Cricetulus griseus: one gene and its partners. The protein of the gene in region 1 interacts with the protein of each later gene in a pairwise test. Links are inferred from orthologs where the notes say so. Each region holds a gene or a part of one and is shown on either strand. Other genes may lie near its edges.

The links.
Region 2: the proteins of Nt5c2 (region 1) and Fxr2 interact in binary tests that used the Homo sapiens proteins (3 or more experiments, as listed by UniProt). The two-hybrid records come from large-scale screens. The link is inferred for Cricetulus griseus from reciprocal best matches to the Homo sapiens genes NT5C2 and FXR2.
Region 3: the proteins of Nt5c2 (region 1) and Mob3b interact in binary tests that used the Homo sapiens proteins (3 or more experiments, as listed by UniProt). The two-hybrid records come from large-scale screens. The link is inferred for Cricetulus griseus from reciprocal best matches to the Homo sapiens genes NT5C2 and MOB3B.
Region 4: the proteins of Nt5c2 (region 1) and Nme7 interact in binary tests that used the Homo sapiens proteins (3 or more experiments, as listed by UniProt). The two-hybrid records come from large-scale screens. The link is inferred for Cricetulus griseus from reciprocal best matches to the Homo sapiens genes NT5C2 and NME7.

The regions. Positions count from the first base shown.
Region 1 is NC_048596.1:14,585,680-14,593,675, reverse strand, and holds the start of Nt5c2 (cytosolic purine 5'-nucleotidase), read right to left. Parts: upstream 5,219-7,996; 5' UTR 5,160-5,218; intron 1-5,159. UniProt on the Homo sapiens protein: Broad specificity cytosolic 5'-nucleotidase that catalyzes the dephosphorylation of 6-hydroxypurine nucleoside 5'-monophosphates.
Region 2 is NC_048600.1:83,491,306-83,497,800, reverse strand, and holds part of Fxr2 (fragile X mental retardation syndrome-related protein 2), read right to left. Parts: intron 3,495-6,495; coding exon 3,324-3,494; intron 3,172-3,323; coding exon 3,093-3,171; intron 2,395-3,092; coding exon 2,285-2,394; intron 1,803-2,284; coding exon 1,716-1,802; intron 1,434-1,715; coding exon 1,205-1,433; intron 1,054-1,204; coding exon 850-1,053; intron 766-849; coding exon 565-765; intron 476-564; coding exon 380-475; intron 244-379; coding exon 143-243; intron 1-142. UniProt on the Homo sapiens protein: mRNA-binding protein that acts as a regulator of mRNAs translation and/or stability, and which is required for adult hippocampal neurogenesis. Specifically binds to AU-rich elements (AREs) in the 3'-UTR of target mRNAs.
Region 3 is NC_048595.1:107,012,051-107,019,314, reverse strand, and holds part of Mob3b (MOB kinase activator 3B), read right to left. Parts: intron 4,364-7,264; coding exon 4,161-4,363; intron 1-4,160. UniProt on the Homo sapiens protein: Modulates LATS1 expression in the Hippo signaling pathway which plays a pivotal role in organ size control and tumor suppression by restricting proliferation and promoting apoptosis.
Region 4 is NC_048598.1:28,012,548-28,019,811, forward strand, and holds part of Nme7 (nucleoside diphosphate kinase 7), read right to left. Parts: intron 4,054-7,264; coding exon 3,946-4,053; intron 2,290-3,945; coding exon 2,123-2,289; intron 1-2,122. UniProt on the Homo sapiens protein: Possesses an intrinsic kinase activity. Displays 3'-5' exonuclease activity with a preference for single-stranded DNA. Does not seem to have nucleoside diphosphate kinase activity.

The DNA of each region.
Region 1 (7,996 bases):
AACAAGCTGCAATGCCTATGACCAAAACGACAAGATATCCATCCCTAATGGTGCACTAGTGGTGCCTCTATCCTGGGAGCAACCACAGCTATCTAGCTGGACAACAGGAGGGAATCCCTATCTCTCACAGGCACTGTGATCCTAGCCCACTAGCTGTGGCTGGTGAGGACTTGGAACAAGAGAACACACTACTGCTACTTCCCTAAGCAGTGTAATTTCCAACCGCATTCTAAACACCTGTCCTCACTCCCACAGCTCTCACCCCTCCTCAAGGAGACCATTGCAGAAAGCCACAAAAACTGGTCAAAATGCAGAGAACAACAGAGTGTGGGTGCTCAGCCCAACTAATGGATCTACAACACAACCCTACACCTAAGGCTCAGGGAATATTTTGGAAGGGAATTCTAAGAACCAAAGGACCATGATGTTTGCTGTGAGTCAGTATCTTTGTATGTGACAGGAAAGCTGCACCCATGAATACTCAACAATAAGGCCTGAAAAATATCACTACCAACTGACATGCCGACACTTGGGGGAAATCTCACAAGGCCTCACTCCAATATAAAGTGCTACAGGGAATTAATGGTTGCTAAGAAAGTCAGAATTCATCTTCTCTAGGGATGAGCTTCCTGACAGGTTATCCAATTCCAAGTAGTCAGCTCTAGGCACATACAGATATGAGCAATACCAAATGAACTCATCAGATTATATTTCTAAATCGTATATACACATATATGTAACACTAATAAAGAATAAGAGACTGAATTTGAGAAAGTAGGTGCACTGGAGGAGGGGGTAAAAGTAGGATTATATACAGTACTCATATATGAAATTCTCAACAACAACAACAAAAAAAAAAGAAACGTTAAATAATTATACCTCAAAAAAAGTACATTCCACTTGTCATTTCAAATGAAAACATGCTAAGATTTAAATGCTTATTTGCTTTTTTGAGACTGGGCCTGGGGAATCCTAGGTTAGCTTTGAACTCCATTAATAGCCAATGACCTTAAACCTCAGTCTTCTGCTCTCACCATTGCTGGCCTCACTTTTTTTTTTAAAAAGACATTAAGTTTCAGGTGCCATATTTCCCAAGTAGATTCTGTCACACAGGCTTTCTCATGTGACATTCCTGGAAATGGTTCCCAGCCAGCAAAGACACACTAATGGTAAAACAAATAGTTCATTAGTCTCCAAATCAAATTCATCTTTCTGATTCTGTATTCAGCATAAAAAGGGGGAGTATTTTTGCTACTCTGCTACTATGGGGTTTTTCTGTTAATGTTGCTGCATTTTTGTTGCTAGCTATTTTCTGAAAAACTTTGGCAACAATTGCTATAGGATACAATCAAATTTCAATCAATAAAAGTTACATAAAACAGGTCATGTTGGCCCTCACCTGTAATCCCAGCACTGCAGAGGCTAAAGCAAGAGACTAGAAACTACTGAGCCGCAGTCCTGCTTAAGATAGTGAGACCCCGCCGGGAGTTGGCGGCACTCGGAGGCAGAGGCAGGCGAATCGCTATGAGTTCTAGGCCAGCCTGGTCTCCAGAGTGAGTGCCAGGTTAGGCTCCAAAGCTACACAGAGAAACCCTGTCTCGAGAAAAAAAAAAAAAAAAAAAAAAAAGTAATTTAAGACTTAGTGGAGCTGGAGAGATAGCTCAGTGGCTAAGCACATTTGTTTGTTCTTTGGGAGAACCTGAGTTCAATTCCCATCTCCCACATGGTTCACAACCCATATGCAACTCCAACTACAGAACCAATGCCCTCTTTTGATACTGATAGGCACCAGGAACACAAGTGGTGCACATATACACACACAGGCAAAACACACATAAAATATGGATAAATCTGGAATAAAAACAAAACACACATAAAATATGGATAAATCTGGAATAAAAATGTTTAGAGGGTCATTTTAGTACTCTAGGAAGATTTGTTACCAACTTTATTTGGGTTTGAACCTAAAAAACTCAACCCAAACCAATAAATAAATAAATGGTTCTCTTTATTCATTCTGCTCTAGCTGCAAAGACTCCAAGTAGCACTATCCTGTAAAGAGCTTTCCAGAACATTCTGGCTTTATCTCGTACTACTGCCCCTAAAATATATATGTAAGGCTGCCTGTCTCCTGGCTGAAAATACAGTTTTGCTACTGACATGTCACTTAACATATGCCTTGTGATAGCTAACATTTCATGTTAGTAGATGTTGTCATAAAAGCTAAAAACATCACATCAACAAAAATTTACTAGAAGCATGTGTGCCAGGCACTGCCTACTGCCATGCATAACGGCCTGTTTCAAAACATCCACAAATGAACACTAGATGAGGTCCCTAGAAATGTGGGCAGCCCAGTAGCAGTATATACACAGCAATCATCACTAAATAAAATTTGAGATCACCCATGGGGACCCACTTTACAATCCAAGGACTTGAGGAGTTTATGTTAGTCTGAGGCCAGCCTATGCTACAAAGTGAGACCTTATCTCAAAAAGCTAGAAACAAAAACCGTTAAGCATAAATACCATGATAAGATTTAAGCAGGTTGTTTTTGTTTTGCTTTCACTGAGTTAAGCCTTTGGAAACAGTGAAGCTGTTAACACACAACCCCTTTTTTTTCAAGCCCAGGCAAGCATGGTGGCTCATGCCTATAATCCCCATACTTTGAAGAGCTGAGGTACAAGGATCCCAAACTGGAAGCCAGACTAAACTCACAGCCAATTCAAGGTGCGTGGGTGGGTCCTGGGCCAGGGGAAGAGTGGCACAAAATGAGCGGCTTAATGAGGCTCTATCGCAAAGTAAAATAAAAAAGGCTGGGATGCAGTTCAATAGTAGACTGCTTTTGCGTAGCCTAAGCTTAGCCCCGAATTCATCTCAGTTCCCAGCAGAGAGGGTTTTGGTGTTGTTTTGTTTTGTTTTTTCGAGACAGGGTTTCTCTGTGGCTTTGGGGGCTGTGCTGGAACTCAACTCTAGACTGGCCTCTCTGCCTGCCTCTGCCTCCCGAGTACTGGGAAGAAAGGTATGCGCCACCAATGCCCGGTTGTTGTTTTGTCTTTCAAGGCTGGGTTTCTCTGTAGCTTTGGAGACTGTTCTAAAGCTCTCTCTGTAGACCAGGCTGGCCTGGAACTCACAAGAGATCCTCCTGCCTCTGCCTACTGAGCGCTGGGATTAATTGTGTGCACCGCCACCACCTGGCTGAGATCTTACACACTTTTTTAAAAATCATTTTTGGACTTTTTTGTTGCTGCTGCTGCTGTTGTTTTTTGAGACAGGGTCTATAGTAGTCCTGGCTGTCTTGAACTTGCTCTGCAGACCAGGCTGGCCTTGAACACAAAGATCCACCTGCTCCTGCCTCTCCAGTGTACCACCACACCAAACTGAGATGCTAAGGCTTAGACACAGGCCAAGTGGTGTGTGCCCCCAGTACTCTGAAGGCTGAAGCAGGATTTTTAGGACAACCTGGAATGCATAGCAGATACTATATCATGGAAACCCCAAATAAACAGCAATAACATAAACAACTTTTTCTAAATACCGTATTTTGTATACTACTTTCTTCACACAACAAAGTTTTGTCACATAAAAGAACACTCCACTTCTTAACAGTCCCCCATAATCTGGCTTTCTTCAGCAAGATGTCATCTAGTAAGGCCAGTAGACACTCTAAGTATCTGTATTAATCTTCTTGAAGTTATAAACTTCTGGCTGACTGTACATTTTCATAGAACAGAACCTTGAAGGACATTATCTTATTTTACAGATTAGCTGGTTCTAAATTCTAGGTTGAGAATAATACAACAACCAATACTACTGAATTTGTCTTTTGCTTTCGTTGAGTAAATGTGAAGCAATAAAAGTATTTTCAAACCCAGGCATGGTGAAACAGGCCTGTTAACACCTGCACTTAGGGAAGCTGAGAGAAAGATCCCCAGTTCGAGATCACTAGGATACACAGCCTGTCTAAGGCCCACAGAACAGGTTCGTGCTGTAATGGAAATGCTCTTACAAAGTATGTGTGGCATAATCACTTTGCCACTGTAAGGCACCCGCAAAACTATTATTTTAATTTCGAACTAGCTGGCTTCTTGAACTGATCCCCCGAGCCCAGATGTCTTCATTTGGATAAATTCTGAAGCATCGATGAAAAATGTAAGGTGACTACAGCAAAGACCTGAAGCTTCTCCTGTCTACGATAAATGGCACTGTTTTAACATCCTCCCCTTCACATGCCGGCTACAGGAATTTGCATCCCTAAGAAAAATTAATAGTCTATGGTCATTATGAAACAATGTGCGGACCGGCGCGCAGGGACACGATGGGGCACACGCAACCGTGTTTGGTGACTAGTCATTCCAGAGCGCTGCGTTAGCACAGCCACAACCGCCCAGGCTGTGAAACAACTCCGACTCGAGCCTTCGCCTGCTGCCTGGAAAAGCCGCGGCCGGCCGGGCGAAGCCGACCGTCCAAAAACGTTCTTCCTCTAACAGGCCCCACGTCGCCCCGAGGGGCTTCGGGGGGCCCAGGAAACAGGCAAGGGACACACCGTCCCCAGTCGTCTTTGGGGGACGACTTGCAGACGCCGTGAGCTTTGCAGGAAGTGCCGCACACCACAGAACTGCCAGGCTCGCAGGCCATTCGGCGGGCAGGTCCAAACCCCGCCAGGCTCGCAACCTCGGGAGAAGCCCCCGGGAGAAGCCCCGCGCCCGCCCCGCGAGGAGAACCGAGGCGAGGCTGCCCGCCGAGCCGGGCGACGGGACCGACAGCGCCGCCGGCCCGCTCCGTGAGAAGGCGGGGTCCCGGGAGCCGCCGCCGGAGAAACAATGGCGCGAGCGTGACGTGGGCCGGGGGCGTCGCCGCCGCGCGGGAAGGGGCTGCGGCCGGCCGGGTGAGCTGGCGGGCGGGCGGCTCGGGGCGGGCGGGCTCGGGGCGGGGGCGGGGGCGTGCGCCACCCCGGGGTGCTGAGGCCGCGGGCCGGCGCGCGCGCGCGCGGATCCGGGCCCGGGGGGGGCCCTGCGGAAGGGACGCCCGGGCGGGCGGCAGGGCCGCGGGTCGCGCGCTCAGCGGCGCATGCTGCCCAGCTCGCTCGCTCGCCGTCCGCTCGCCCGCGCCCGCCGCCTCCAATCCCTCTCCCGCCCGCGCGGGGTCGCCGCACTCACGGCCCCGCCGCACCGCAGCAATCCTAGCGCGCAACCGCGCAGCCGCCTCGGCGCGCGCCCTCCCCCCCCCCCCGCCGCCCCGGCGCCGCCCCCAGCTCGCGCCCGGCCAGGGACCGGCGCTCTGTTCCGTACTCGGGCTCTGCCGCAGAAGCCGGCCGCCGCTGATGCTCTCCGGAGGGAGGGAGGACCTGCCTCAGACCCTCGGAGGGCTCGGGGAACTTGTAACCACAGAACCCCGGTGCTTCCGAGCTCTGGGGGTGATGCACGTAAAGAACCTGACCCTTTCCTTTGGGTAACCACCGCTGGGCGATTTGCCTGCGCCCTTCAGCGGAGGGCTGGCTACCCCGCCCCCGCCTACTCTGCGGATGCTTTCCTGAAGGTGGAAAGAGTGTCCCTTACTAGGCCTAGCTGCCCAGTCTTGTAGACAAATGAACCTGAGGGCCTCCCTGGCCAAACCCTCTCCAGAGAGCCTTGAACTCAACTCCGTGGTAACCAAAGGGACCAGCTTTGGGGTTTATCAGAATGAGTTCAAATCCTAGTTTCACCACTTACCAACAGAGTGAACTTGACCAAGGAATCTGACTACACGGAGTTAACTTATCAAAGACCATACTAATAGAATAAAATAATATACTACGACTCCGCAATGAAATAATGTATGACTCCAGGCTTAGTTCTGGCTCGTGGCAAACAACAAAGAGCAGTGGTTGTATAGACACGCATTACCTCACTTCACCACAAGACCCATCAAAGACAGGGAGTCCACTATGTCCAGAACATTGCATTCCTTAGTCTGGGCAGCTCTGGAGTTCCATCTCAAAGACCATATTCTAGCCCAGGAAGCCTGAGAACAAACTGATCTAATGGCTCTTGGACCCCGGACTTTGCCCAAAGTCTTCTTTGAGTTGGGATACTTGATCCCTTCCATTGTTTTTATTTTTCCTCTATCCTAATTCTGGAGTTCTTTGTCCTTCTCTTTGGGCACTGGCTGGTTTGATTGTGATTCCTTTAAACCCTTCTATCCAGGACTAAGTCGAGTTTTGTAATACCACCGTAATCAAGCAGGACTGTGGCTTCTACTTTGTAACGGAGCATTGCGTTTGTGCAGGAAAGTTACTGGTGCATACTGAGTATGCTGGCTTGGCTGAAGTCCTAGCTAGTGGAGATACTGGGATCCAGGCACGAGGCTTGCTTGAGCTCAAAACTTGATTCTAACCTGAACAACATAATGAGAGGAAAAAGAAGAGGGAGAGAGGAAGCAAAAAAGGGAGAGGGAAAAGCAAGGCAAGCAAAGAGGAAAGACAAAAAGGGAAGAAAAAAAAAAAGAGGTTCTTGGCAGACACACCACTGACTCATATTAAACTTGCAGTCAACTGCCAAGTCCTTTTAGTAAGGGCTCCACTACAGCTTTTACCTACCCCCTCCTGAGTTTTTCATACTGGGCTAGGTCAGCTGAGGATAAACCCTGGACCTTTCACCTACTAGACTTTTCAAAGTGGAAAATAATATAAATTAGTTTCACATCACCTTTAAAACAAGTATATATTTTTATAAAGCCTGGTTTTGTAGGCCTGGGGTGGTGGCACATACCTTGAATCCCTCTCTGGAGACAGAGGCAGGTGGATATCTGTGATTTCAAGGCCAGTCTGGTCTACAGAGCAAGTTCTGGGCCAGCAAGGATTACAAAGTAAGCCCCTGCCTCAAAATAAGTTAAAAACTGCCCAGTTTTGTGACTAAAGACTCGTACTTAGCTGTCTACCCACGTAAAGTGATCACAAGAGAAAAAAGAAGCAGAGTACACACAAAGACCTACAGAGAAGTTTGTAACAACTGGGGACTCCTTTTTCTGTTTGACTATTGGGATCTTTAACACAGGTTAGCCTCAAACTCATAGGACTCTTCCTGCTTGGCCGGAATTATACACAAGGGTCTCCATGTCTGACTTTCCTTTGTACTTCTTCACAAATTTTCCTACATTGTGTTACTTTTGTAATGAAATCCAGGAGGTTGGGGTGATGTTACTACTAAAGCATGGGGTCCTGAGTTAGGCTCCCCAGCACCCACGTAAAGCCAGGATGACTGTGTTGCCTATAATCCCAAAGCCAAGAGATGGAAACATAAGGATGCCCTGGGCGCCCCTGGCCAGCCAGTCTAGCCAATTAGTTAGCCCAGGTGCAGTGAGAGACCCTATCCCAAAATATTTGGTGGAAGGGTCTAAAGAGATGACTCAGCAGTTTCTAAGAGCACTGACTGCCCTTCTAGTTATGGCTGTAACTCAAGTTTCAGGGGATTTGATGTGCCCTTCTGGTCTCTACTGCCAATGCAGGCACCTGGTACAAAGCAAAACCCCCACACACATTTAAGGAACTTTTTTTTTTTTTTTTTTTTTTTTTTTTTTTTTTTTTTATTGGTAGAGGGCCTGGAGAGATAGTTCAGCAGTTAAAAGCACTTTACTCTTCTAGAGGACCCAGGGTTGGTTCTCAGCATCTGCATGGCAGCTATGTGCAGGTTAACACATTTTTTTTTAGTTATGTAGACAACCACACGTGTATATAAACAGGTGCATAAACAGGTGTGTGCACTCACACACATTAGGTCTGTATACTTATTGTCATCATGTTGCTGCAGCTGCAAGCCATGAAACACAAACCACAAACCCAAGAGAACAAAGGGAGGGGTAGGTAAGGGGAAGGGGGGAGGGATGAACAGGTGGCAGGTGCTCCCTTGAAAGGGAAATGTCTCTAGCCCCTACCAGGTTTTGACCTGGGAGGAATGACAAACTCAGCGAGTTGGTTTTGAGTATATAAGTTTTACTTCACACTTATGTCAAAGTAACA
Region 2 (6,495 bases), on another chromosome or scaffold:
TGTTAGTGCCAGCTCTGCTCCATCCTCAGCTTAACCTGAACTCCCAGACACAGCCAATTCAACAACTCACATATTTCCTAGGGAAGTTTTCTATGTCCCCCTCCAAAAAAAGAATGGGGTAAGCTGTATTGCAACTGCCTACCTTCTGTCCTGAAAGAGAATCCTCTGAGGGTTTCGTGCGTTCCAGAGGTGGCCGCTGGCGGCTCTGAGACTCTGCCCGTGAGATGTAGTCTGCCACAGTCACTAGGAAAGGAGGAGAGGATCAAGACTTTCAGGAATACAGGTATCCATCTCCACTGTTCCCATTAAACCCAACCCTGAGCATGAGGCACCCCACTCTTAGCTGCAGAGAGGCTCTAATCCCCTAGTGTCAGCTGACCTGGTTGGCGGTCTCCGCTGATGGACCCATCAGTTCGATTACCACGATTGCGGCGACGGCGGCTTCGATTCCGTCGCTGGGGTCTTGATTCATCTTCTGTGGAGTAAAGAAAAGTCACACACCCATCCTCTCCTTCTTCACTCTTTCTTCTCACACCACCTCCAGGAACCGCGCTCGCTCCTCACCCAGGCCATTCTCTGTCATGTTAGGACCATCCGATTCCAGGCCTCCATCCATGACTGTCCTGTCTTCATCAGTACGACGGCGGCGGGAACGGCGACGGCGGGCACTTGCTGGAGGGGGTTCACCAGGCTCTGAATCAACTGGGGGCTCTGGTTCAGATGTGTCCAATAGGCTGTAAGGGTTACTGTCTGGATCCTTTAGCACTGAGAGGCAGGAAAGGGACTGGAGTCAGGTGACCACTATTTTCTCCTTTGGGCCCACATACATGACCCCCAACTCTCTGATACCTGAGCTAATAGATGACGAGTTGTATCTTGAGGTAGGCCGGGGAACAGGCGGGGGTCCCCTTCCCCGGCCCCCAATCGGCCGCCTCCGGCTCTCTTCTCCACGGTTTGGGGGATCTCGATCTCGGTCACTGGGTCCAGCTCTATGAAGCTCTTCTCTCTTTTCTGACTCTGTCTCAGAAGCCGTGGATGGGTCTGAGCTGGGGCCTGAAGGGCAGGCAGCACAGAAGGCTTTACTCAGAGATACTGGTCTTGCCCTAGGGGTCCACCACCTCCTACACTCACAAGCACCCAAGCCACAGCTTTCCAAGTTTCCACCCAAACATCTCCTCCTCCACTGCCCCCACGGCTGTCTCACCATAGGCAGGGCCACCAGTCCTCCGGCCCCGGCCCCGGCCCCCATAGCTGCCCCCATATGTTCGGGTCGTGTGCAAGGAAGAAGAGGAGCTTTCATCTGTGGTATAGCCAGCCTTGTCACTGCCACCACCACCACCACCCCGTCCACTCCCAGGAGGACGGAAGCCCAGCCCAATCTGCCGAAGCTGTTCATCAATTTGCAGTCTCTCCAAGCGAAGCTGTTCAACCTCCTGGTTGGAAAGACAGACAACACAGGAGAATTAAAATGGATGGACAGTCCACTCCTTCATGCTTTTCTACCCATATGGCCCCTGTGTAGCTAAGCTTCTGGGACTACAAAAAGGAAGACAAAGACTTAAAAAGAATAGGACACAGCCCCAGAGCCAAAATATCAACCAACAGTCCTGTTCTACAAAAAGACAAACCAGGTAGGACAGCCCCAAAAATTATATACCAGCAGTTCTTGCCCCTTGTTACCCCAGTTTGTCTGGCATGGCTTCAAACATGGGTACCTGAAGGTAGGAGAGGTGGTACTCTAGCAGTGCCTGGGCATTGCTGATATTCTCTCGGGTGCCAACAAATATGAAGGGAACCATTCCCTAGAGAACAGACAAAGGAAAGATTACAAGTCAGTTAGCTATGATGGCATACACACAATCTTAGCACTCAGGAGGAGCAGGAATTCAAAGCCACCCTCAGCTACACAGTGAAGGTAATTAAGCACAACCTAAGCTACATGAAATTCTGTCTCAATGCCCACCCCACCAAATGCCAGGCACGGAGGCACATGACTTCAGTCCCAACACTGGCAGGCAGATCTCTGTGAACTGAGTTTAAGGTCTGTGTGGTTCACAAATTAAGTCCAGGCCAGCTAGAGCTATACAGTGAGCCCCTATTCAAAAAGAAAGAAAATCAGAAAGGAAAAGATTAAAATGTTAAGCCCACTCCTCAAACAGACAACAGGATCAGTCTACCACAGCAAAGGAAAGGTTGTGTGTTCCACCCTCTAGAGGTTCCCAGCCCTCAGAAGAAAGTACCTCCTACTTCTGAAAAACAATTTCTAGGCCTCTGTGCCCCATACCTCCTCCCGGGGGTTCTTCTTGTCGTTATCACCTTCAACACGAACCCTCACCACACCAGACTTATCCACAATCTCCTGGATCACTTTCCCATTCTTTCCAATCACTTTGCCTAAATGAATAACAGAGGAATTGGGCTTTTAATTTTTGTTATTTTCAAAGAAATAAAAGTAAAAGTCTTCTATAGCCACCTCGCTACATATATTGTACTTATTCATTCTCCTGCTTCTAGGAATCTTATAGCTACGGTCGACAGGCGGTGGTAGTGAACACCTTTAATCCCAGCACTCGGGAGGCAGAAGCAGGCAGATCTCTGTGAGTTTGAGACCAGCCTGATCTACAAGAGCTAGTTCCAGGACAGCCTCCAAAGCCACAGGGAAACCCTGTCTCGAAGGAAAAAAAAAAAAAAACAAAAAAAAAAACTACAGTCTATTGGGCAGCGGTGGAAACACGCCTTTAATCCCAGGACCTGGGAGGTAGAGGCAGGCAGATCTCTGAGTTGGAGGTCAGCCTGGTTCACAAAGTTCACAAAGTGAGTTTCAGGTCAGCCAAAGCTGAAGTAAAGAGTGAAACCCTGTCTTGGAAAGAGGAAAAAGACAGGGAAAAAAAAAAAAAAAAGCTACAATCTACAATCCCTACAAATTTATCATTCCCCTTTTTTTCATTCATATGTCAAGACTATTTATTCCATCCTTTTGAAACTTATGAAGTCCACAGAGTAGCACTAATCCTAGTTAGATGCCCAAAATTGTTTTCAAGTCCTGCCATCTTGGCCATAACTATTCCTTTTATACACACACCCAAACTCACCAACCAGGTTCCTGGGTACTTGTACAGAGTCCTCAGAAAATTCCAGGTAGCTTCGAGCTTGTCGGCATGCCTCAGGCGTCTATAGAAAGCAAAGAGTAAACTAAAACAGAACCTGGATCTCTCTGCCATTCGATATTTGGCAGGGAGGTCACCATAGCTCAGATTAGCCTTCCACCTTACCCTCTATCCCCTCAGTCCCCCAAAGGAACAAATGACCCATCTTTGGCTGACCTCCCCATAGATTCGGAAAGTGCAGGTCTCTTCACCCAACTCAATGGCAGTCACTCCTGGCACTTTTCGAGCCTGCTGGATGTTGGCACCATGTGTTCCAATTGCCAGGCCCATTAAGTCCTCTCTCACTGTAAACTCCTCTTGGAACGCTGCCGCCAACTGCTTACTTGTCTGAAAGAAAAGGCATTGTGAAGCTCAGAACATGTGTCCCAGTTGTCTAGTCCTTTATAGTTTAAGCAAGGGGAAAGTATGAAGAAAACCAGAACCACCTGTAGTCTGCTAGCCTCTGAGCCCCGCACAGAAATCTCAGGCACCTTTAATACCAGGGCTTATGGGCAGTGATTAACTAATAAGGGCAGTTTAAGCTAGATGCCATCAAAGTTCAAGATCTGTCTCTAACACTAACTGGTTGAATGGTCCTTAACAAGATACACCCTGTGTGAGTCTATCATCTGACAAGTCCTCACAGCTGACCTACTCTCAAGTTAGCAAGAATACTATTCCTCTTTTGAGCCCTTCCAACTCTCAGGAGTTCACTTTTCACTAATAAACCAATGTTTATTGCTTTAAAAAATTGACAGACAACAGGTGTTGGTGGCGCACACCTTTAATCCCAGCACTCGAAAGGCAGAGGCAGGCAGATCTCTGTGAGTTCGAGGCCAGCCTATTCTCCAGAGTGAGTTCCAGGACAGGCCCCAAAGCTACACAGAGGAAACCCTGTCTCGAAAAACAAAAACAAAACAAAAAATTGACAGACTAGCAGCTGAGCAGTGGTGATGCACACCTTTAATCCTAGCACTTGGAGGCAGAGTTCAAGACCAATCAGATCTACAGAATGAATTCCAGGACAGCCAGGGTTACAACCCCACCCAAAAGGACTAGCAAGAGGGTTAGACAAGGCTGACATCCAAATGGCTTAAGATTTTTTGTTGTTGTTTCTTAAAATTCTTCTTATGTGTATGAATGTTTGCCTGAATGCTCCAGGTTTATGCTTAATCCCTGGCATCAAAAACAAATGACTGGGGGCTGGAGATGGCTCAGCAGTTAAGAGCACTAGCTGCTCTTGCAGAGGACCCAGGTCCAATTCCTAGCACCCACATGGCAGCTATAAACCCACAATTGTCTATAAACTCCAGTTTCAAGGGATCTAACACCTACACATTGATAGGCCAATACACATAGAAGAAAAACAAACAAATAATGAAGAAAAAAGCAAGTTACTGGGCAGGAATATGATCAAACATTGTAGGAAATAACTGAATAAATAAATTGGTGGCCAGGCGGTGGTGACGAATGCCTTTAATCCCAGCACTTGGGAGGTAGAGGCAGGTGGATCTCTGTGAGTTCGAGACCAGCCTGGTCTACAAGAGCTAGTTCCAGGACAGCCTCCAAAGCCACAGGGAAACCCTGTCTCGAAAAACCAATAAATAAATAAATAAATAAATAAATAAATAAATAAATAAATAAATTGCTGGTATTGGGAGGCAGAGGTAGGTAGATCTGTGAGTCGAGGCCAGCCTGATCTGCATAGCAAGTTCCAGGACACCCAGGGCTACACAGACCTTGTCTCAAACACCAAAATGAGTAAATTATCTATGAGTGCTTGCTACACACACATTTTTTTTTGCTGTTTACATAATCAAATTCTTGTTGTTTTGATTTAATGTTTTTTATTTTTATGTATATCAGTATTTTGCGGCCCTGTCTATATACCATGTACATGTTTGTTTTTCCAGTGGGCCAGAGAGGCATCAGTTCCCTGGAATCAAACACAGGTGCTCTGCAAGAGCAACCACTGATACTCTCACCTCTCAGCCCCCAATTATAGGTACATGCTGGCCTTGGACTAATGCATTCACAAGCAGTTTTCCTGTCTCTCCTGAGTATCTGGGTACAGGCAACCGTTACACCCATGGTCTCTCATACTCTAGGCAAATGCTGTACTACTCAGCTGTAGCCCTAACAGTTTTTTTTTGGTTTGGGGTTTTGGTTTGGTTTTTTGAGACAGGTTTCTTTGTGTAGCCCTAGCTGTGCTGAAACTTCCTCTGTAGACCAGCCTGTCCTTACACTACTGAGATCCACCTGCCTCTGCCTCCCAAGTGCTGGGATTAAAGGCTTTGGTCAGCACTGCCCAGGCCCCAACAGCTATTTTAAAGCACTGCCTATTAGAGGTCAGAACTTGCCTAAGGTGCAAAAGACTCTAGGTTTAGTCTCCAGCTAAGAGAGACTTTGTTGTAAAAACAAAGGGGTTGGGAGTGAGAACAAGAAAAGGAGTATTAGCTAGGTACAGTAGCACTCACCTTTAACCCCAGCACTAACTAGGAAGGCAGAGACAGGTGGATCTCTGAGTCTGAGACAAGTCTGGTCTACATAGCAAGTTCCAGGCCAGCCAAGGTTACAATGTGAGAGGTTACAATGTGAGATTATATATATCTCAAAAAAAAAAAAAAAAAAAAAAAAACCCAAAACACATAAAGAATATCAAGCATCAGTAAAACAAAGGCAAGCTTTCCTTTTTTCTTCTTATTTTTCCCCCAAGACAGGGTTTCTCTGTGGCTTTGGAGGCTGTCCTGGAACTAGCTCTTGTAGACCAGGCTGGCTTTGAACTCATAGAGATCCGCCTGCCTCTGCCTCCCAAATGCTAGGATTAAAGGCATGCGCCACCACTGCCGGGCTCTTTTTTCTTTTTTTCAAGACAGGATCTATCTATATAGCCCTGGCTGTTCTTGAACTCTAAGTAGTGATCCACCTGCTTCTTCCTCCAGCTGGTGATTAAAGGTATGCACCATCACACCTGGGCATGGCAAGCATTTCTGAAAACAAGTGGTGCTCATATCCTCCTGCCTCTATCTCCCAAATGTTGGGATTACTATTACCAAGTTTATTTGGTGCTGAGTAAGTACTATAAACCTATGTCTAACTTCAATTACTCGGGCATGTTACCACACAAAGAGAAAGCCAAGTTCTAGGAGAAAATAATATTCTATGCTTTTGCTAAAATCTGCTTTTAGGGCTGGAGAGTTGACTTCAAGGTCAGGTTAAGTTTTGCAGAGGACACAGGTTTTATCTCCAGCATCCATTTGGCAGGTCTCAACCACCTTTAACTTAAGTCCCAGGGGAACTAATGCTCTCTTCTGACCTCCAGAGATACCATGCATGCAGGCAGGCAAAA
Region 3 (7,264 bases), on another chromosome or scaffold:
TTTTGGCTCAGCGGGTAAAGGCCTCTGCCACCAGGCTAGATGTCCTGATCCAGGGACCCTGTAATGAAAGGAGAGAACTGACTCCCACAGTTGTTCTCTGCCCCCGACATGTGTGTACACTTGTGTGCAGCTGCAAGTACGTAAACAAATGCACATCTAAACCTAAGCATACTCCCCCCACAATAAATTAATGTAAGAAAATACAAATTTAAGTGTACTGATTTGCTATGCTAGCTCTGACTGCAATATGTTCTTTGCAACTTTGCAACATTAGACACAGAGTCTAATATTGAGATATCAATGAACACAATATCATTAGTGCCAATCCACAGGTACAACACTCTTAGTGACACTGGATATGCTAAGCCCTTGGGCCTGGCACCGTATAACTGTTGTGGGTTTTTAAAATTATTTTATTCTATGTGTATGGGTATTTTCCCTGCCTGCATGTCTGTGCACCGTGTACATACTTAGTGCCCACAAAAACCAGAAGAGGTTGTCCAGGTTCCTGGAACTGGTGTCACAGACAGCTGTGAATTGCCAAGAAGGTCCTGGGATCAAACCAGGGTTCTCAGGGAGAGCAGTCCATGCTCTGAACAGCTGAGCCATCTCTCCAGCCCCTGGTGTTACTATTTTGGGGCTGGTTCTCTCTAAGGAGCCCTGACTGGCCTGGAACTGTCTGTGCAGATCAGGATAGACTCAGAATTGCAGCAGTCCTCCCGAGCATGCGAGTGTTGGGATTACATGCATGTATCGCCGTGCCTGGCCATCATGTGATCATTATCCCAGAAACAGTCACAGTATCCAGTCCTGTGATTTACAGGTTTGAGTTTGTATAACCAAGCCAAACGCATAATTTCACATAATTATTTTAAGACTACTTACTACTACCTATTACAATTGATTTTCCGGTCACCATGATCAACAAAACATCAATGTGGGAAGAAAACAAATCTAAGTACGAGTTAAAGAAATACAAACTTGGAGGGAGGGTACCCAATACTTCTCTTGTCACTTCCACTGCTAACAATTCCCAGTGAGGATAATCATGGATTTTCTTCCAGGCCCCCAACAGAACTTCTTAGTAGAATATTGGCTTATTCAGGGCCTGGCAGTGAGGCTGGGACTGCAAGGCAGCTCCCGGCACTACCAGGTGCTCCAGCTCCTGGGGCCTTTCTTCAGTAACAGAACACAACATAGAGTTTTAAGCTAGCAAAGAAAGGCTGACTTAGCCCCGGGCTTTCCCCCCACAATAGCCATTATGTGGCTGTGTATAAAGGACGACTTGAGGCTCAGCCCTATCCAGCTAATGTTTATTTGCTAACTCAGCAACACTGAAAGTGTGAGCATCTAGTGGAGCTCTTACTTCTGGTGGCCTCTGGGGACTTGTTCCATCTACCTGGGCATGACTCCGATGGGAACTTGACTCCATGGCCCAACAGAAGTGCTTTGTATCTCTTCACTTAAAGGCCCTCTCTTTCCACTGTCCTTGACATTTTCTGAGATTAGCTTTATCAACAGTTTCCAGTGTTTACACTCCCCTGAGTTGTTTGTACAGCCTTTACTCTCATGGTGGTTATTTACACTCTCAAGCAGTCTTTGTACAGAACAGACTAACAAACCCACCACCAGTGCCTTTAAGTTTCTTGCCATGTGAGTCTTACAGTGATGCTCAGAGATTACTTGGGGCTGTCCCCAAATTCTTTCTACGAACCTAATGGAAAGAAAGTGAAGATACCACTTATTCTTTAACCAATGATGTGAGAGACATCACAATGGTATGCAAAACAAACTGCTGTGTATTCCATTGGTGCAATTGTAGACCATGAATTAAATTCCTAAAGGTAACATAAGATTCACCAACATATTCTTTAATAGGTATAGATGCAGTATATGTATAGCTAATGTCTTTTATATTTTAATCTTTATGTTTTGCATTTTGCTTCTTTAATCCCTGGGACCTTGCTGACCCTGAGTGGGATCCCCCATACACCACACCAGCTAGTTAATATCTGAGGTGGCAAACTGTTTACTCATGTCTTATTCACACACAGCCAGTATAACCCAGCCAGACAATCTAGAGCCCATAGCCAACCACCTCCCACGTTAGGTTATCAGAACAAAGATGGCAGGCCATAGTAACAGAAGACTGGAACAGCCCGTGTGCTGCAAGCCTGCTGACAGCCTCCCAATGAGTATACTCTATGACCGTTTCTCTGTCCACTCTGGTTCCTCCCTGATCTGCTGCTTCTTCACATAGCTGGGCTCAGATCTCACTGTAGGGATATGTGAATATAACACAGTATCTTTTCAGTGGTAGTTATATGAGCTGTAGACATCAGGTACCCAAATAATAATAAAACATTATTTCAATTGTATAGACAAGGAAACAAGGGTACATAGTAGAGCAGATAGCTAGGCCCTGTATTTTAGTCAATATTCAAAATGACTTGGATGAAACTTACTTCACCAACTATATTTAGCAAAACTACACTTTAACTTTCTTAAGGAAAAAGAAACCATGACTTCATAAAGCAATGTATCCTACCGGGTAGAAAGGTACTCACTGGGGACAGCTGTGAGGCAAGCATCCTCATTACAGTGAACCTGTTACAAAGGTTTTCAGAGACCTTGATTGAAGCACATACTAAAGCCAACAGTGAAAATAAAAGCAGGGGATAGAGGGAGAGTCCAGTTGTTAAGAGCACCTGCTGGTCTTTCAGAGGACTCAGGTTCGATTCCCAGCACCCACATGGCAGCTCCACCTGTAACTCCAGTTCCAGGAGATCTGAGACCCTCTTCTGGCCTCCATAGGCACTGCATGCATACATGGTATACAAACATACATGCAGGCAAAACAAGCATACACAAAATAAAAATAAATCTCTTTTGAAAACAATAAAATGAACTCATACTCCACTCGTCAATATAACAAAGTTACAGCTTAATCTCAAATGTTCTTACTCTCAAATGATATACCTATGATGGCTTTACCCAGGTGATTCAATATAAATAGCAAATTTCCCATGACACAGAGCTCTTCCTTAGGACTTGCTTCTCTCTGTGTGCTGAGCAGCTGACATACAGTGGGTGTTAAATGGTTACTTACTGACTAAGGAAATAAATGTTTCTGACCATCACTGACTAATAGTGATAGATCAAAGAAGTGTCTCAGCTGTGCAGTGGTAGTGCACACCTTTAATCCTAGCACTTGGGAGGCAGAGGCCAGCAAATCTCTGAGTTCGAGGCCAGCCTGGTCTACAGATCAAGTTCTGGGTCAACCAGGGCTACACAGAGAAACCCTGTCTCAAAGAACCAAACCAAAACCAAACAAAATCCAGGGAGAGGATGTCTCTAAGAAATTGACAAAATGATTTTCTTTTTCAGTGTTGTGCATTAAATCTAGCTTCCCTGGCCCAAATCATTATGTAGGAATAATGTCACCACATTATCTTGAAGGGACCAGCTTCCCTTTTGGTAGCCATAATGGCCGAACGCGTGCTTCTATGACCTTGTCCTAGAAACTAGAAAGTCAGATGCCTGCCTCATGACAAGGAACCAATCAGAAGTTAGCTGGTGGCGCTATGCTTTACGACCCTGGGTGTGCTTTACGGACAAGCGCGTAGCAACCACCCTGGGAGGGCCTATGGGCCATAACAACCAGTTGACCAATCAACACAGGGCAAGCCCTCCAAGCCTGGAAGCACACCAATCGTGAGCCTGTGCGTACCCCTAGACACTCCCCTTACGCTGCCCTATAAGATCTTTCGGGAGCCCCTAGGAGCCGTCTTTTGCGAGCCATCCGCCGTGGTGGGTGGGTGAAAGACCGTGGTGGGTGGGTGAAAGACCCGAGCTAACATGGGGTTAGCTCGTTAAATTACAATAAAGCCTCGTGCAGTTTGCAGCGAGCTCTCGAATCCGCCTGGTGATTGGGGTGACCGCGAACGTGGCCTGGGACCCCGGATACTTGAGTTTTCTCGGGTCTAACAATCTCACCTCCTGGAGAGCAACTTCAAACACTTACCTGGTTGCAGTAGACATTTTGATGCATCCCAGTCCTTTGCCGATCACTGTGCCCTGTCTAATTCTGCAGCTCCATCTTACCCCCCAGCTTTCCGTAGTTCTCACAGCGTATGGTGCTATGCTGCCGAGACACTTACCAAGGGCTCCAGCTCCTTGCGGTCTATGAGGTTCATCTCTGTGACAAAGTAATAGAAGTGTTTGTAGCAGGTGTTGACATGAGCCTCTGCACCCATCACAATGACCCGGTCAAAGTGGTGAATGTAGACATGGACGAAGACTCGGAAAAGACGGCACAGGATCTTCTTGCAGATCTGAAGGAAGTTCTTTGGGAAGGGAACGCCTAGAGGAACAAAAAGAAAAAGGTATGAAGCCACTAGGAAGGATCTTTTCCACCCTTACCTCCAAGAGGAGAAAAATGGTGTCTGGGGGAAGCTGTGGTGGGGAGGGGAACCTGGTACTTCTTACCAGCACAGAGAACCCAAGGGAAAAAGGATGGTAGCAGATTAAAAAGCACTGTCCCACTTCCAGGGCCAAGTGCTCCACTCCAGCCACCAGGGGCCAGAGCGGGATGGAGACACAGGGTATCAGAACTTTGGGTTTTTCAAGGTAATTTCGGAAATCGTGTAAACCCATTGTCTTTTAAAAAAGGTTAACAAGTAAGCCGGGTGTTGGTGGCGCACGCCTTTAATCCCAGCACTCGGGAGGCAGGTGGATCTCTGTGAGTTCCAGGCCAGCCTGGTCTCCAGAGCGAGTGCCAGGACAGGCTCCAAAGCTACACAGAGAAACCCTGTCTCGAAAAACCAAAAAAAAAAAAAAAGTTAACAAGTAATCTGAAGTTTTAAAAATTCTTGCTGCTGAAACAAAACACCTCTCTGCATTAGATGCATCCCACAAAGCTACCCATTTGCAAATTTTGATTGGAAGTGTTTCCCAAGGTGTTGCCTCCAAGGCGGACAATTCACAGACAGCACAGCACCACTCACTCCACTCCATCTCTTTGAGGGGCTATGCTTTCATAATGGAGAAAGGGGAGGTGGCTGGAAGAGTCCCTCAAATTTCCCAGCCACAACGTCCAGCGGGATTGAGGCATCAGGCAGCAGGATGGATGGCACTTCGTCTCTCTCTGAAAAGCTACTTACACTCTTGCTATTTACCCTGCCATGAATAGAAAGTCCATTGTAATGAACTTCAAAGATAAACAGACTGTTTGAATTCCTGCTCAGTCCCCTTCATCAGCTCTATATCAGGGCCAGTTATTTAACTTTTGGTTTCTCGATTCTATAGGAGGGGTCAGAGCAAGGCTTTCCTTACGTGGTGGGGAAGGTGTCACAATGTGTAAGGTCTTCCTATAGTGCCTAGAACATAGTGGGGGGATTACCCCATCTCTCTGGCATCTGGTCACTGTTACAAGGAACATTTCCTTGTCCAGAGAGGACAGGTATAACCACCAGCTTCCAGGTCATGGTAGAGGTTTGCCATAAGGATGCCCCAGGTCCTCGGAAGCCTGGGTTTTTGCTGTTCTTATCTCTACAGGGACCTAGGGAACTTATCTGCTGTGAGATGTTCTGTCAGAGGAATCTCCTGGTATCCTCCTCCCTCCTGGTCAAAATAGGAGAGATGGAATCTGTCTGGCAGTCAGTTGTGATGGGATCTGCCTCTCCAGGTCCCTGTATGGATACCAGCTTTTCTTGAAAGTCAAAGTCAACACATTGAACAAACCCAGAGAGAATGTGGATGCAGTATAGTGGCTGAATGGTGTGGCAACAGGTGCCATGATTCAGAGATGAGGTAAACCCAGGGCAAAGATGGGGCAGGGGCAGCTACTTGAGTTTTAGAGCTTTAAATGTTAAAATGGGGCCACTAAACCACCACTGAATGTTGAGAGAGGACCCAGAATCTTCGGAAGAGTGTCCCATACATATGACTGGACTCCCTCTAAGACAAATGAGACAAACTGCAGAAGGTTGACTATGTCATCTTTACCTGTGACATAGTTTCATTATTCCTTTCATTATTCCTATTTCACAGATGAGTAACAGAGGCTCTGAAGTATGGGTTGTAGTTTTACACAACAGTGGGGCTGGGATTTCAAATCAAATTCTAAAATCCAAAGTACAGGTTCCTTTGCAGTTTGACTTGCCTTTGGGCCTGTGTGAGAGACACCACTCAACTGTTCAGCATAATGAAGAATTTCAAGTTTATTCTTCAACAGCACAGGGGCACTAACAAGCAAATGAAGGCTGATGGAGAGAGCAGGCCATGGAGAAGAAGTTCACTGCATCAGAAGATGCCCTCCCAGGAACAGGTCAGCTAGGGTACTCAGCTGCCAGTGGGGAGAAATGCTTTTGGAAGAAGGGAGAACGTTTTAATGAAGAACAACTTTATCTAGCTTGTAGGGTAGGAAGAAAGAATTTGAAATTCCCTTTTCCTCAATCATTAACTCCATTTGTTCTTTCAGTCTAAGTTCCCAGGTAATGAAAGATAAGCTTCACTCATTGCATTCAATCAGAAAGTTATGTAGGACAATCTCCACTGCACTGGACTGCATGTCTTAGGACAGCATCCACAGTCTTCACTGCAGAGAACTGCATGTCTTAGGACAGTGTCAACCCACAGTCTCCATAGCAGCACACTGCATGTCTTAGGACAGTGTCCACAGTCTTCACTGCAGAGGACTGCATGTGTTAGGTGTTTAGACCTAAACTTTGACTAGCTTCATGATAACCCAGACACATGCATGACAATCATCCTGGACAGGTAGATAAGAATTGAGATAGAAAATGAGAAAGATGACCTGCAGATCTCTAAGTGATTTTCAGTTGAGAACTAAGTCTCCATTAAGAATATGCCTTTCCTCTGTCCTACCCAACCTATCTCACATCCTGTGACTCTCAGATTAAGGCTGGGAAAATTTAAGATTCCAAGAAGAAAATATATTCAGATGAGTGATCTACAAAGAAGTGACAGACAAAAAACCCAGGACTTTGATGCCCTTGGCTCATGTGGTGTGTCTTGGGTCTTTACAAATGGGTCAGTTCTGAAACAGAATTCGTGAATCCAAAGTACGACTAGGATGAGCTCAGATTCCAGAATGATAGGAGGGAACATGTCCAGGCAGAGGTCAGAACTCAAGGCACTCACTCACGAGGTTCCAGCAGGCCAGGAACTGGAGCAAGGGTGAGGTGAGTCTGTGGGCTGGGTGTTGGCGAGACATCCACAACCCTGGCTGCTGTTCCAGAGG
Region 4 (7,264 bases), on another chromosome or scaffold:
AGGATATGACAGACCCTGCTGACACCCTATGGAAGGCCTCACAATCCAGGGGGAGCAGAAAGGATATGTGATAGGTAGGGTTTTAGTTGGGGGGGGGTGGTAGGGGAGGACGGGAGGGAGAAGGGAACTGGGATTGTCATGTAAAACAATCTTGTTTCTAATCCAAATTTTAAAAAATCTGAAAAAAAAGAACCCCCCCCCACCATCTCTCCCTCCTCGGGTTGGTCCCCTTTCATAAATATATATTCCACTTGACAATGCTAGTGTCTTCTCACAAGCATCACCTGGCTTAAACTTTGGATAAGGCTTCTGTCCCTCCCTGCTCCCATCCCTTCCTGCCAGCTCTGCCAGGGAGCAACAGTGGAGCAGTGTGCTGCCCACTCCTTCCTACTGGGTTGCCCTTTTTGTTTCCCCCACACTTTACAGTTGACATCATTTTCTTTAAAATTTTTTTTTAGTTAGTATATAAAATAATGTGATTCATAGTGACATTTTCATGTCATTATACCCTGTTCTTTTTCACACCCTGCTGCGCTCTCCAATGGTGACTAATTTCTTCTTAGTCTCACTTCCTTCCCTCCAATAGTCTCTGTCTGCTTTCATGACATATATATTCTATTACAATCTCTTGTTCCCCAATCCCCACTCTCTTTAGTCCTCTCTCCTCCATAGTTTCCTTTCTACACTCTATCATCTATCTATCTGTCTATCTTCCACATTTTAAAGAAAGCATATGATATCCATCATCAGTCTAGCTTACTTCACTTGCCATAATGACCTCCAATTCTATCCTCTTTTTGCAGATGTCAGAATTTCACTCTTTGTAGCTGAATAAATTTCCCCCAACAAGCTATCTCTCTCTCTGTGATTTCTGATGTTGTCCAGATCTTCCTGTCTTTGGAACAGAGGCAATCCTTTGTTCTCTTGGCTTGATTCACTTAGTGCATCACCTTGAGGCAGCTTCTCATCCACCTTCACCCCAGATGTTTCTAACGATTGCATTCTTGACTTGGACGGTCTCTGAGCTTTATTTATTTGTTTGTTTGAGACAGGATTTGTTTGCTTAACTGTCCTGGCCATCTTGGAACTCTGTAAGCAAGGCTGGCCTTACACCCAGAGATCCACCTGCCTCTGCCTCCTGAGTGCTGAGATTAAAGGTGTGTGCCACCATTGCCCATCTCATTTTATTTTTATAAGTTGGGATCTCATACAAGTTGACCTGAGCCTCCGTACATAACCTCATATGACCTTGAACTCGAATGCTCCAACCTCTACTTCCCAAGTGCTGGGAAGACAAACATAGGCCACTGCCCCCAGTTTCACACAGTGCTGGGGCTCAAACCCAGGCCTTCAGGGCTTTATCCATTCTAGACATTCTACCAACTAAGCTACATCCCAGCCTTCATTACTCCATTTCAATTAACCACATACACTTTTTATTTCCTATTCATACCTATTATTACCATAATTATTCAGATCATTATTTTAGTAATTAAACTTTTATAAGTTTCAGCCACCATCTTATTCAAGCAGAATAATAGTTCTTCTCAACTTAAGCTAGGATTTCCCACCTTTGCATCTTTCTTTACACTCATTCCTTTGGCTAGCATTTGACCCCAGCTCATCTAACTGGGTGATAATTCAATCTGTCTTTAATCATCAAGACCAAACGACTCCACAAAGCCCTCAGTTTCGCAAGAAAAACTTCATTGTCTTCCGAGTTTACATTGATTCATGCATCATTGCTTCCTCTCTCCCAAAGCCATTCCTATCCATTGGAAGAAGAGTTTATCCTTCTCAAAATAGTCTTAGGCTTTAGTGAGAAACAACAACAACAAAAAAACAACAAAAAAGATAGTGTGTAAAAAACTTCTCATTCCCCTCCCCCCCCAAAATATTCACCTCCCAAGACTACAGATAATCATTTTGTTATTCTAATCATAAACAAATCCTAGATCAGTTGCAAACTATTCAAAAAAGAATGTTATAACATTATATTGGGTCACTGGAAAAAAAGGTATGCTGTGAAAACACAATCAAGAAACAGCAAATCAGAAATTAGTAGCCAAAGTCCCACATAATGAATGATTCAATGGAAAAGATGACATAATTGTTTTCTTACTTCTCTTTCCTACTGCCCAGCTGGCGAGCTGTGTATTGGTCCCCATAGTCAATCAACAGCAGTTGTCGAGAAAAGACATTCACTTTGTTGCCTATAAACAAATCTTCCACGCGCAGGTCGTCATACTTGGTCCGCTTTAAGAAGGTACGACGATTCTTTACATCATGCTAGGACCAAACACAATGAAAAATATAAGTAAAGAATGTTAACCTTACTGGGAGGTAGATAGCTATACCCTTTTACTTTTGACTACACATATAACCGATGAAGTTGTCTGGTGTCTTCCTCTGTCATTTCCCACCTTACTCTATTGACACAGGGTCTCTCACTGAAAGTGAAGTTTGCTGTTTAAGCTAGGCTCGATGGCCAGAGAGCTCAGAGGAGCTGCCTGTCTCTGCTACTCAATATTGGCATCCATCACATGGAATAAGGCCCAGCTATTATGTAGGTGCTTAATGTTCAAGCTCAGACCTTTATGCTTTCACAGCCAGTGTTATTACCCACTAAGAGATCTCTCTAGGTTGCTTAGCTTGTTTTGAGAAGACGTCTTGCTATACAGCTCAGGCTGACCTTGAACTTGTGATTCTGCTGCCTCAGCCTCCTAAGTATTGAAATTATAGTGAAATGTCACTAAGTTTAAGCTGTTCCTATATTTTTAATGTCAAAACTTGTGAAATAATTTGGTTAGACATCTCCAACAAGGTTGGGTGCGAAGGTGCACATTTATAACCCCAGCTGAGATGAGGCAGGATTGCAAAGGAGAAGCTATTCTGGATTATGTGGTAAAATCCTGTCAACCTCATAACTCAGAAAAAAATACCAGCAGAAAGCTATCTTGATATATTAATGAACACTAAGAAAAAAGAATTCCAATAAAAATACATCTTCAGATAGTAGTTGATTACTCCCACACCTTTGTGCCACTATTACACCAGTGTGCCTTGCAAGCTGGCCACCTGTGTGTATCTCAATGTCTATGTGTGTTTCTTGTGCTTTTTTTCTTAGGCTTTTTTTTCTGTTTGTTTTGTTGTATTATGATTTGTTTTTATTTAGTTTCTTAGATGCCTGTTTATATTCTAATGAAGAAAGAAAGACAGGGTGTGATGGGGAAGTTGGGAAAATTTGGAAGGAGTTGGGAGAGGGGAAACTGTAATCAGAAAATATTGTATGAAAAAAATCTATTTTCAACTTACAAAGAAAAAAATTTATCTTCAATTGCAAAATCAAAATCAACCATACCAAAGGCAGTCTTATTCTTCTCCTTGTCCCATAAAAATAATTTTGCTAATTTTTAAGCAAGCAAAGGCTATTTGTCAGTGTGTTAGCTCGTATGTCTGAGCAGACTTCCATGAACTCGCCTGGAAGCCAAAGGTGAACTTCAGGTCTTGTTCTCAGGAGCTGTACACCTTACTTTTATTTGTTTCCTTTTTTGTTTGGGGGAGGTTTTTTTGGTTTTGTTTTAAGACAGAGTCTCACTATGTAGCCCGAGCTGGCCTGGAACTTGCTAGGTAAACCAAGCTGGCCTCAACCAAGTACTGGCCAGGCTTCTGCCTCCTGAGTACTTGATTAAAGATGTGCAGCACCACTCCTGCTTCACCTTAGCTTTTGAGACAGGACCTCTCACTGAACCTGGGGCTTACCCAGTCAGCTAGACCATCGAGCCAGTAAGGCCCACCACATCTCTACGGGAATTACACAGTGCTGGATTACAGGAAGGCACCACCTTGCTTGACTTTTCCCGGCCGCTGAGCATCAGACTCAGGTCCTCAGGCTTGCACAGCCAGCACTTTGCCAACTGAGCCATGGTCCTAGCCCTCATTTACCATTTCAACAGTTCCATCTGCGGGGTAAAACAGAAGCTCGTAGCGTCGGAGCAGTGAGGCGTTGGGATCGTACCACTCTGTAAGGAAAGCAAACCTCTCACTCTGATTCTGTGAAGAAAAGAATTTTATCACTGTCATATAGCACATAAGCACTCCTGTAAGTCATAGAAAAAGAAAATGAGGATTTCCAAATACTGACACAAGCCAATCTTTGCTATTGTAATGAATTATTCTTCTTAGAAATCTGTCCTGCTGGTTTCTGGTCAAATACCCTTGGGTCTTTCAAAGGTGCACTTAATCTTTGTTTCATGGCCATTCAGTGTCCTAATATAGTCAGCAATCTTGGAACATGAGCTCCTGATATGACTCCTTTAACAACATACAGAACACAGTTGTTCTGAAGTCAAGTTTACTTAAAAACTGTCATAAGCTATCAAAGGTCTCCAATGCTACAGATTTTCATATCCCAAACTTGGGGATTTAGCAAATATAGATTATTGTCACTGATGTGGTAAATGTTCCTTCTCTCCTTAGTCATTTTACAGCAGTATCATTTTAGAGAAAAAAAAAAAAAAAGACCCTACTGTTTCTACAAAAGCAGTCACCTCTGAGAAACAGAAGTAAGCCAGGCCTTCCATGTATTACTCTCTGATAAATAAGCACCAAACAGAAGACTGACAAGAATGATCTCCACTATTTCCAAAAGTTTTAAGTATTCTGAAGCTCTTAGGTATGGCCTCTTAGAGTTTTGAGTTAGAGTTTGCAATACAAACTACACACAAAGAAGTCTCCTGCCTGTTATCTTGAAAAGGGAGCCAATTTCTTAAATAACCATGATTCACCTCAATGGAAATTTTTTTAAAAAAACAAAAAACCATAAAAGCAATCATGGAGCGCTGGAGAGATGGGTCACTACCTGCTCTTCTAGAGGTCCTGAATTCAATTCCCAGCACATACATGGTGGCTCACAGCCATCTATAGTGGGATCTAATGACCTCTTCTGGCATGTAGGTGTACAAACAGATGGAGCACTCATACACATGCAATAAATAAGGAAATCTTTTGTAAAAATCATGGAATTGCTACCCACAGATGCAGAAAAATAACTCTCAAGCCAGTACTCCTTCCTTTATGAGGTAGAGAGGTACTCTGAGAGCAAACTGTACTCAAACTTGGTTTACTTTCTACCTCCTGATTCCCTTGTGAAGCACACACCCTGCCCCTTCTTTCTTCTCACACGCATTTGGGGACATAAAGACAGGACATCTAGACTTGGGTTTTGCTGAGGTTCGCATGTCTCTACCAACCCCCTTTTGAAAGTTAATTTCCAATGTGATAGCAGTAAGCCTTAGAACTTTAGAGATGTTCACAGGTTGCACATTAATGAATCGGTGCTGCTTTGGGAATGAGTTGTTACAAAGGGAACTCCCCCACTCATCCTTTTTGATCATCCACTATGGAACAAAGATGCTCATGACATGTTCTTTGAATTTTCAACACTCAGAACAATAAGCCAAATAAATATATCTTCTTTATAAGATACCCAGTCTCCTCACATATTATGTTAAAACAACAGAAACTAAAAGACAGCCTGATATTCTCTCTCTCTCTCTCTCTCTCTCTCTCTCTCTCTCTCTCTCTCTCTCTCTCTCACACACACACACACACACACTCACACACTCCCAGACCACACTCATTTTCAAAACTTTTAAATTTTACTTTTCAACTTCATTGAGTCAAGTCTATCACTTTCTAAGTGATATCAATGCTGAGTACCACTTTATTCAAGGCCTTCATTTTATAGATAACGAAATTGAGTTCCAGAGGATATCCACGACTAGCATAACATTATGGATCTTGTCACGTGACTGAGCCAAACGCAGCACTGCACTTTGCACTTCCCAGCTCTTTCCCCAGTTCTGGCCTTGCAGGAGAACTCAAGCAGAAACTGGTTCTACTAGTACATATAGAAACCTCGAGTTTGTTCTATAATGTGCCTGGTGGTTACAGGACTAATTGTTCACTAACTCTTCATTGAATAGTTCAGTTTCTCTCAGAAATACTTTATAGAAAATATTCAAACATTCCATTGTATCAAAAATATTGTTTTTTAAATTGTTTTATTTTGGGTGGTGGTAAATTGGAATTCAGGCTCACTCACTCACTAAGACCTTGAAGAGACTAAATCGGAAGGAGGTTGGTTATAGAACACTGCTTCCACACAACAGCCATTTCTACTTTAGCCAGAGCAGCTGGGATTACTCAAGCATCATGAGGACCCTGTTGACATTCCCTCATGGAAGGAGCATGCAAGGAGGGTCATCAGTTCCTCATCTGAGATTCCAGTCACTAGATACTTCCTGTGCACCCTCTCCCACTTGCATATAATCCTGGGAGGTGCATATAATCCATATATAATCCTGGGAAGTGTATATAATCTGTATATGATCCTATCTGTATATGATCCTGGGAAGTGTATATAATCTGTATATGATCCTGGGAAGTGTATATAATCTGTATATGATCCTGGGAAGTGTGTATAATCTGTACATGATCCTGGGAAGTGGTGCACACACACAGTAGCAGGTAAAGCGAAAGGAGCTCTGTCTATGCATTTGGGGGAAGCTCAGACAATCAAAGATATTTTATCAAAAACTTGGGTAGCAATTTTCTTTCTAAAGGTTATAATTCAATTGGCTATGTAATGATTTGTTTTATAATTTGAACTTACAAAATAGGCAAGGCACTATTGAAAAAAATAAAAAACACTCATGAATATGAAACTGCTATTAACAAATTATAGATGTGAGAAATTAACTGCTGTGTTTTGGGTTCACACAGAAATCAAAGGCGTTCTGAAAATAACAAAGCCTTAACATTCATATAGTTAATGTAATTTTGTTTTATGGATTTTAAATTTTATTTTACTCTTTAGAGACAGGGCCTCCTATAGCCAAGGAGTGGGTCTGCTCATCTTCCCCGCCTCTAACCTTCTAAGCGCTGGGCTTACAAAGGGTGCACCATGCCCAGCATAAATTTCAAAGTCATATTATACACTGCACTTATTAGTGGTGTATTTGCAAAAAACAGACAGTCTAATGCCACATAGCTACTCTAAAACCAAAAACTAATTATGTCTAGGTTTGCGGAGAAAAACAGTACTGCAGGGACTCTATCAGGGCTTATGATAAAATGACTTATATTTTATTTAAAAGGAATAAATATGTACAGATGAGAAAGCACTTCAGTTCAAGGGTTTCAGGTATTGAAAATAAAGCATGCAAAATTGTTTTCAAATAAATTACCGGATTTTCCATTT